Sus scrofa: one gene and its partner. Each later gene encodes a partner of the first gene's protein in a complex. Links are inferred from orthologs where the notes say so. Each region holds a gene or a part of one and is shown on either strand. Other genes may lie near its edges. The genes, in order: CRHR1 and UCN.

Region 1 (3,754 bases):
TCTGCAGCTGGCTGCCTGTGTACAACTGGGGGTGCTGCTCACCTCTCCCCATCACGCAAGGCTGTGCGCACGGCAAGCGTGTGAAGGATGCCCATCACCCATAACAGCCAGGAGGCACAATCAGGGAAGGGGAGTTGCCCCAGCCTGGCCCCTTGGCCTCTCTGCCACCCCCTCATAGAGCGCCCCCAGCCCCTCTCAGGCTCCCCCAGCCTTGCCATGCCCCTGCCTCCACATCCCGACATTGTCCACACACAGCCTTGCTTTCTCACTTCTGCCTCATTGGATGAAGAGTAGCATTAAGAAAGACCACTTGAGGGAGTTCCCATTGTGGCTCAGTGGGTGAAGAACCTGACTAGTATCTAGGAGGACATGAGTTCGATCCCTGGCCCTGCTCAGTGGGTTAAGGATCTGGCGTTGCTGTGAGTTGTGGTATAGCTACAGACACACCTTGGGACTGGTGTTGCTGTGGCTGTGGTGTAGGCCAGCAGCGGTAGCTCTGATTTGCCCCTAGCCTGGGAACTTCCATATACCACAGGTGCGGCCCTAAAAATCAAGGAAAAAAAAAAAAAAAAGATGCTTCAATTGTGCCTCAGTTGTGGCCATTTGAGCCTTAACAGTCAATCAGGTGGGAAGGCGCAGGTGTGGCTACCACCCAGCTTCCCCAGCTCCCAAGGCAGGACAAGTCTCCAGCAGCCCCCACTCTTCCTCCTGCCCTCCGTTCTGGGCCTCATGCCCCACCCACCACCCATGCGCTGTGTGCACTAAGCCCGGAGTTTGTTCTCCAAGCCTTGTCTCTGGTCTCCTTCTGGGGATCCTACCTTCAAGACAGCATTCAAACCTGTTCAGCCTCCCCTGCCTCCTAACGCCTTCCCGTTTCCAGCTCAGAGCCTCCCTGGGGGCTGGGACGTGCTCCGGCCGGGTCCCACAGCCTCATCTTTGTCCAAGCTGCACTGGATCCGTGGTGTCCTCCACCTGCAGGGTTCACCACGGCCCTTCTCCCTCCAGCCCGCCCCCCTGTGCTTATGACCTGGGCCCTGCAGACCCCATGCCCTTCTAAGCCCTCTCCTGCCCTCACCAGCTCCCCTTGCGCCCCATCCTTGGTGGGTGTGAGAGTGCCGTCAGGTTCCCCAGCCACACAGAGGCCCTAAAGGCTGAAAGTCGTCTCCATGTCTTCGTGGCATACCCCCTTACCCAGCCTCAGCACAGACCAGGCCTTCACACGTACTGGTTGAAAGATAAATATTATTATTTACACCAGCCGCCCCCATCTCCCAGCCCCAACCCCCCAAAGCCCTGCTCTGGTTGTCCAATACTTCTGGATATGGCTGGGTCCTTACCTGGGGTGTGAGCAGTAAGCTGGCTGTTTTCCCCAAGAGCCACCTGTCCTGTTTTAGGGACCTCAGGGCAGAGAGGGGCTGGTGTCCTGCCCTCTCTGTGCTTAGCTAATGATGTTGCCCCAGAGGTCATCCAAGGGCCACGAGATCCCTTTGACCAGCAGAGGGTTGCCCCAGAAGCGGGTCATGGAAGCCAGCAGACTGGGTGGCCCCAAGTCTTCTTTGCCCCTTGAAGGGTGGCTTTGGCTGGGGCACAGACTGGCTTTTGCTCAAGGACACTCCGCCACCCTCCCACCTCCCCATCTTCTCACAAAGGGGGAGACACCTGGGGCAGGAGGTTAAGGAGGGGGAAACCCCTGTGGGCTGTGCGGTGGTAAAGGCCCAAGGGTGCAAGGCAGCGAGGCAGGGCTTTTCTGGTGGCAGGACCACGGGGTCAGATGAATTTCTGGTGGCTTGGGAGGATTTCGGAGATGTGGCCTGATGTCTGATGATGACACTTGATTTCTAAGAATGTCTTCAGGGCTTCTGACAACATGGCCTTGGTTCCCAGGGCTGCTGGAAGGCATTGCTAAGGCCCAGAGGCATCATCACGATGGCTCAGATGCTGTCACAGGAATTTCCCATGATGCCCCTGAGGCAGTGAATGGCCCCTCACAGTCGCTGAGGACTCCAGCTGCCATCTTGTGCTCCGGGAGAAGATGCCTCTTGGAGGGACCTGCTTTGGATTCCCGCTCTCCACCTCCCCTCCATTTCTGCTCCATTCTCCAGGAAGATCGGGGCAAAGGGGAGCCAGAGGCCCTGGGCCCAGCCCAGTCCCATAGGTTACAGTCCATTCATCCCGTGCCCCACCTCCCGACTGCTCTCACAGGTCTGGTATTCCTGCTCAGCTGAGGGTCAGGGAGGATCCTGGGCTCTCAGGGCCAGCTGTTCCTGGGGGTACAGGGTGTGGGAAGGACCTGGTCCCCCCTACAGACAAGGCAGCTGGCTGAGTCTGGTGACCATCTTCCCAAACATAGATCTCGGGGGGCTGCTCCATAGCCCCCCAACTCAGACCGCAGTGGATTGCTTGATGCTGTGAAAGCTGACTCGGGTCGGGGAGGTGGGGATGGACATGGCGCGGGCCACACGGGCGCGGATTGAATGCTTGTCCTGCCATCGGTGCCACCTCTTCCGGATGGCGGAGCGGACCTGTGGGCACAGAGCAGAGCAGGGCTTTAGGACACCCTCTCCCTCCCCCAGGGCTGCCACAAGCAGCTCTACTTGTGAGCAGCACACAGGAGGCCACAGAGGAGGTGGCAATATTCACATCGTTGCTGATTTGCGGGTTTGTTTGTTTTTTTTTTTTCCTTTTCTTTTTACAGCCACACCTGCAGCACATAGAAGTTCCCAGGGTAGGGGTTGAATTGGAGCTGCATCTGCAACCTACACCACAGCTTGTGGCAATGCCAGACCCTTAACCCACTGAGTGATGCCAGGAATCAAACCCGCATCCTCGTGGATACTAGTTAGGTTCTTAACCCACTGAGCCACAATGGGAACTCCTGATTTGCATATTTGTTAGGAAAATTTTCTCAAGCATTCTGAACAAAGGATGGCTTTTCTGAATCCACCGAAAGGTGCCATATGGCCTTTGCCATGAGGACTCTATACCCTCAACCCATACACCTCTCCTGCCCTCAAGCTACATACACTTCCTGCTCCAGGGCTCAGCTTCCTGGTTTTCAGCAACTCATTTCACAGACCCATTGACAAGACTGGAGCCCCAGCTTCAGGCTCCCCTCACCCACTGCCTACGAGAGCAAAGAAGCAGGCTGGCCACTGCAGGAGCTGTGTGGGCGGGTGGCAGGGACTCTCCCGGGCTCCCAGCAGCATCCCCTTAGGGACCTGGGAGCAGGGAGGAGAGAGCCGGCATGTGGAGGGCAGGAGGAGGCTGCGGGCAATCTCGGGTCCCAGCAGGCCTCCTGCTGTCCTGAGCCCGGGCCCCAGGTCCTTACCTCGCTGTTGAGGAAACAGTAGAACACGGACACGAAGAAACCCTGGGGTGGAGGGAGAGGACGGGTCAAGGGACCGGGGCAGGTGCGGCCCCACCCAGCCTCAAGGGCTGCCCCCCTTTCTGTCCCCGGCCTCCTGCCCCTCCAGACCCCTGCCCGGAGAATCCCCACCCCAGGAGGTGCGGGGGTTGGCCAGGGCCATAGCCAGGGCGGGAGGGGGCGGGCAGCTGTACCTGGAAGGATTCCAGGAAGGAGTTGAAGTAGATGAAGACGACCCGGGAGACCTCGTCTTCCCCGGGGTTCACGAAGAACAGCATGTACGTGATGCCCAGGAGGGGGAGCAGCACCAGGGTGGCCTTGACAGCCTTCCTGAGATGGGGGGAGGTGGGGAGGCTGAGTCACAGCCCACCCCCAGAGGGGGCTGGGGCC
Region 2 (3,370 bases), on another chromosome or scaffold:
CCAGACCCTCCGGGTGGGGGCGCTGTGGGGCAGTATGTCCTGAAAATCAGGGGCTCCAACTCACCCGGCCTTTCGTTCGGCACAGGCGCTTCCGGGGAGGAAGAGGATGAGGAGGTAGCGTTGGACGGGGAAGAGGGCAGCGCGGGGCCAGAGGAAGAGCGGCCGGATGGGCCGGAAGGTGAGTGTGGCCATGGCAGGGCCTGGCTGCTCCGCTCCTGCCCTCTCCTCCGGCCACTGCCCTCTCTGCGGCATCAGGGATCGCGCGTGGCCCCCACGGGACACGCCCCCTAGCGCGCGGGCTGAAGTACAACTTCCTTGCCCACCATTCATTCCCTGGGGTTTGGAAGGCCAGGTTGGACGGGAAAGTGGAGGAGAGGCTTTCCTGGCTGGGGAAAGGGATTCAGCTGTGTTTCGGAGTTGCCCTGTTCCTTTGGAGCGCCTGCCCATGGAGCTTTCTTTTCCGGGCGCAGGACTGCACTGACCCGCCCCTGTTGGGGAGCCTGACTTTCGGGTGGTGAAGGATCTGAACGGAGACCACCGCGCCACCCAGCTCGGCGCCCCGCCGCGGGGGAGGGGCTCAATAAAGAGCTAATGCGTCCCCACCCGCGCTCCTTTCGCTGCTCACTCTCTCAGCCTCGGAGACGTTCGCATCACCTCCCGCCCTCTCCAAATCTGGGACCATTTGGGGAGCAGAAGTGGAATGAACCCCTATTGGGCATCTCCTTGATATCAGGCACAGATTCGCGAGCCCAGTGCCAACGGAAGAGGGTGGGGTGGGGATGCGGCGGTACTGGGGCTTGAGTTCCTAGGAGACTTGGGGACATGGGGACCACAGGAACCTGGCTGAAAGCCGTCCTCCCGGAGCCCTCCAGCAGTACCCGGTTCCCTCTCTCCGGTCTGGGCGGCCCCACTTTCCCACAGGTTCCCACCCTGCTGTGGTTCCCTGAGCCCCCAAACAGAGGCCAACGGCTCTTCAGCACTTTTATTAAAAACTAGTATCGTGGGGAGTGCTCAGGGCATCTCTAGGCCGCTCTAGCCGCGCGGGACTAGGTCAGTTCCAGTCCCTCACGCCCAGCCTGGGGGTGGGGATGCAGGTCGAGGGTTTCAGGCCCCAGACCCAGATGATCACTTGCCCACCGAGTCGAATATGATGCGGTTCTGCTCGGCGCGCTCCCGCTGGCTCTGCGTCCGCGCCAGCTCCAGCAGGGTCCGCAGCAGGTGGAAGGTGAGGTCAATGGACAGCGGAGGGTCGTCCCGTCGCGGCCGCTCACTTGCGGCCCCGGATCCCCACCGGCCCTGCCCTGCGCGGCGTGGGAAGCGCTCGGCCAGCAACAAGAGGAGGGCGCGGGCCCCGCTGCCGCCGTGCTTCTGCGTCCTGGGACTCCAGCGCAGACTCGGGTCCTGGACCCCGGCCACGGCCGCCTCTGGGCTCCACTGGCTGCTCCCCGGACGCAGCTGTGCCAGAAGCAGAAGGGCCGCCAGCAGCGCAGCAAGTCCCGCCGGCCTCATGGTGCCACCGGCCCTGGACACACAGAGGCAGCGCGGGGGTGAGGTGCGTCTGGGACAGTCGCAGGTGGCACCACTCCCCTTCCCGCGCACGTCCAGCGTCCCTTCCCTAGCGAGCCCCTGCGACTGCTGCCCGGAGCCCGCAGCCTTCCCTCCAGCCCCAGCCGCTGCCACCCTTTCCTCCCTCCCTCTTGGTGGTGGGTGATTTGAGCGCTGTCCCGGTGCTGAGGGAAGCTGGGCGGATGCTCAGAGCCACTCACAGTTTGCGGGAGAGCGTCTGCTCCGTGCAGGACCAAGCTCCAGTCTCTGTCCCTCGGGGCGGGCTGAGGGCGCCTTGGGGAACACGGGGTCTGTCCCGGGACCGCCGCCAGCCTTATATAGCGCCAGGACAGCACCGAATGACGTCAGCAAGGAACATGCACTGATTGTAGAGCAATGACGGCCGCGGCTTCAAGTCCGACCTATAGCGGCTGCGAGACCCCGAGCAGGCGCACCTCAGGGCACTGGACTTGGCATGGCTGGAAGTGACACCCGACTCAAGAAAGTGAGAAGCCGGGTTGGGGCATAAAGATTGCTCTGGGAGACACAGAAGCCCTTCAACCACTTAGGATAGCCAGCAGGGACGAGAGGCGGGTCCCCAGACCAGACTAGTCCAGATCTCTTCTCAGGCACTTGAAAGGCAGGCTGGACCTTGGGGCTGTCCGTGGTGCTGACCTTGTCCTCAGCCTCTAGAAGGGGCCAGAGGGGTAGGGAAAACGCTGCTCAGACCCAGTCCCTGGCTCCAGCTATCAGTTCTGTAAACAGAGCCAGTTGGGACAGCACCACTGGCACTCAGCTATGGCCATGGTACCCACCCAAGGGGCAGCTGAGGCAGCTTGAGCTGCCAGGATTCTTGATCTTATTCTGGCCCCAGGATCTAAATTCTAGGGCTGTCTGACTGAGGCACCATTAAAAAAAAAAAAAAAAAAAAAAAAAAAAGGGCCTCTGGACTCAGGGTGCTTCCGGGCAACAAAAGGCTGGTCCATCTGCTTCTGGGTTAGCTCCAAAGTGGGAGTTTAGCCAAGTTAATTTTCCTCCTGGGAATCACAGCAGCAGTAGTTATTACTTTATCTTTGACCTCCCAGTTAAGATCGCTGGGTAGGAAGAAAACTTGGCATCTTAGTCTGAGCTGCTTTAACAAAAGTTACCATAAACTGGGTGGCTTATAAGCAACAAATATTTATTTCTTACAGTTCTGGCGGGCTGGGAAGTCCAAGATCATGGTGCCACTGGGTTTGGTGTCTGGTGAGGACATGCTTTCTGGCTCAGAGATAGCACCTTCTTGCCATGTGCTCGCATAGCCTCTTTTGTAAGCATCCTGATCCCATGAGGGCTCAGCCCTCCTGACAGAACCACTTCCCCAAAGCCCCACCTCCTAATACCACAACCTTGGGCATTAGGTTTTCACCATATGAACTTGGGGAGTACACAGACATTCGGACTATACCTTGTGGGTTCAAGTTTCTACTCTGCCACTAACTCAGCATGGACAGGTCACCTCACTTCTACGGGCCTCAGTGTCCTCATCTGTAAAAGAAGATTGGGCTTGGTGGTCTCCAGGCTTCTTTCCAAGCTCTAGAAAATGTAGCCCCCCCTCAGCAGTTTTTTGCTGGGTCTTATTGCTTCTGCAGGTTCCAGGTTATCTACTTAGTAACATTTACAGAGGCACCATATAAAGGGTTCAAGGGGGTGGTCCCTCCAAAACTAGAGCTACACTAAGGCTGGGAAGGGTTTGGAAAACAGATGTGTCTATGAAAAGGAGGAATGAGTGACATTTACTGGGATGTGGGTATAAGCTAAAGTTGACAAAACCATATGGTTCAAT

What was found.
Region 2: the proteins of CRHR1 (region 1) and UCN are in contact, whole or in part, in a cryo-EM structure (PDB 6PB0), measured with the Homo sapiens proteins. The link is inferred for Sus scrofa from reciprocal best matches to the Homo sapiens genes CRHR1 and UCN. Residues at the interface, in NP_004373.2 of Homo sapiens: Leu106, Asn107, Glu109, Lys113, His117, Val120, Asn123, Trp169, Val172, Gln173, Ser177, Pro178, His181, Gln182, Thr192, Tyr195, Asn196, His199, Phe203, Phe260, Gly261, Lys262, Pro264, Tyr270, Tyr272, Gln273, Met276, Ile277, Tyr327, Phe330; in NP_003344.1 of Homo sapiens: Asn84, Pro85, Ser86, Leu87, Ser88, Ile89, Asp90, Leu91, Thr92, Phe93, His94, Leu95, Leu96, Arg97, Leu99, Leu100, Glu101, Leu102, Ala103, Arg104, Thr105, Gln106, Gln108, Arg109.

The regions. Positions count from the first base shown.
Region 1 is NC_010454.4:17,250,794-17,254,547, forward strand, and holds the end of CRHR1 (corticotropin-releasing factor receptor 1), read right to left. Parts: intron 3,695-3,754; coding exon 3,559-3,694; intron 3,371-3,558; coding exon 3,329-3,370; intron 2,523-3,328; coding exon 2,382-2,522; 3' UTR 568-2,381; downstream 1-567.
Region 2 is NC_010445.4:111,833,264-111,836,633, reverse strand, and holds UCN (urocortin), read right to left. Parts: upstream 2,553-3,370; 5' UTR 1,767-2,552; intron 1,523-1,766; 5' UTR 1,510-1,522; coding exon 1,126-1,509; 3' UTR 702-1,125; downstream 1-701. UniProt on the Homo sapiens protein: Acts in vitro to stimulate the secretion of adrenocorticotropic hormone (ACTH). Binds with high affinity to CRF receptor types 1, 2-alpha, and 2-beta. Plays a role in the establishment of normal hearing thresholds.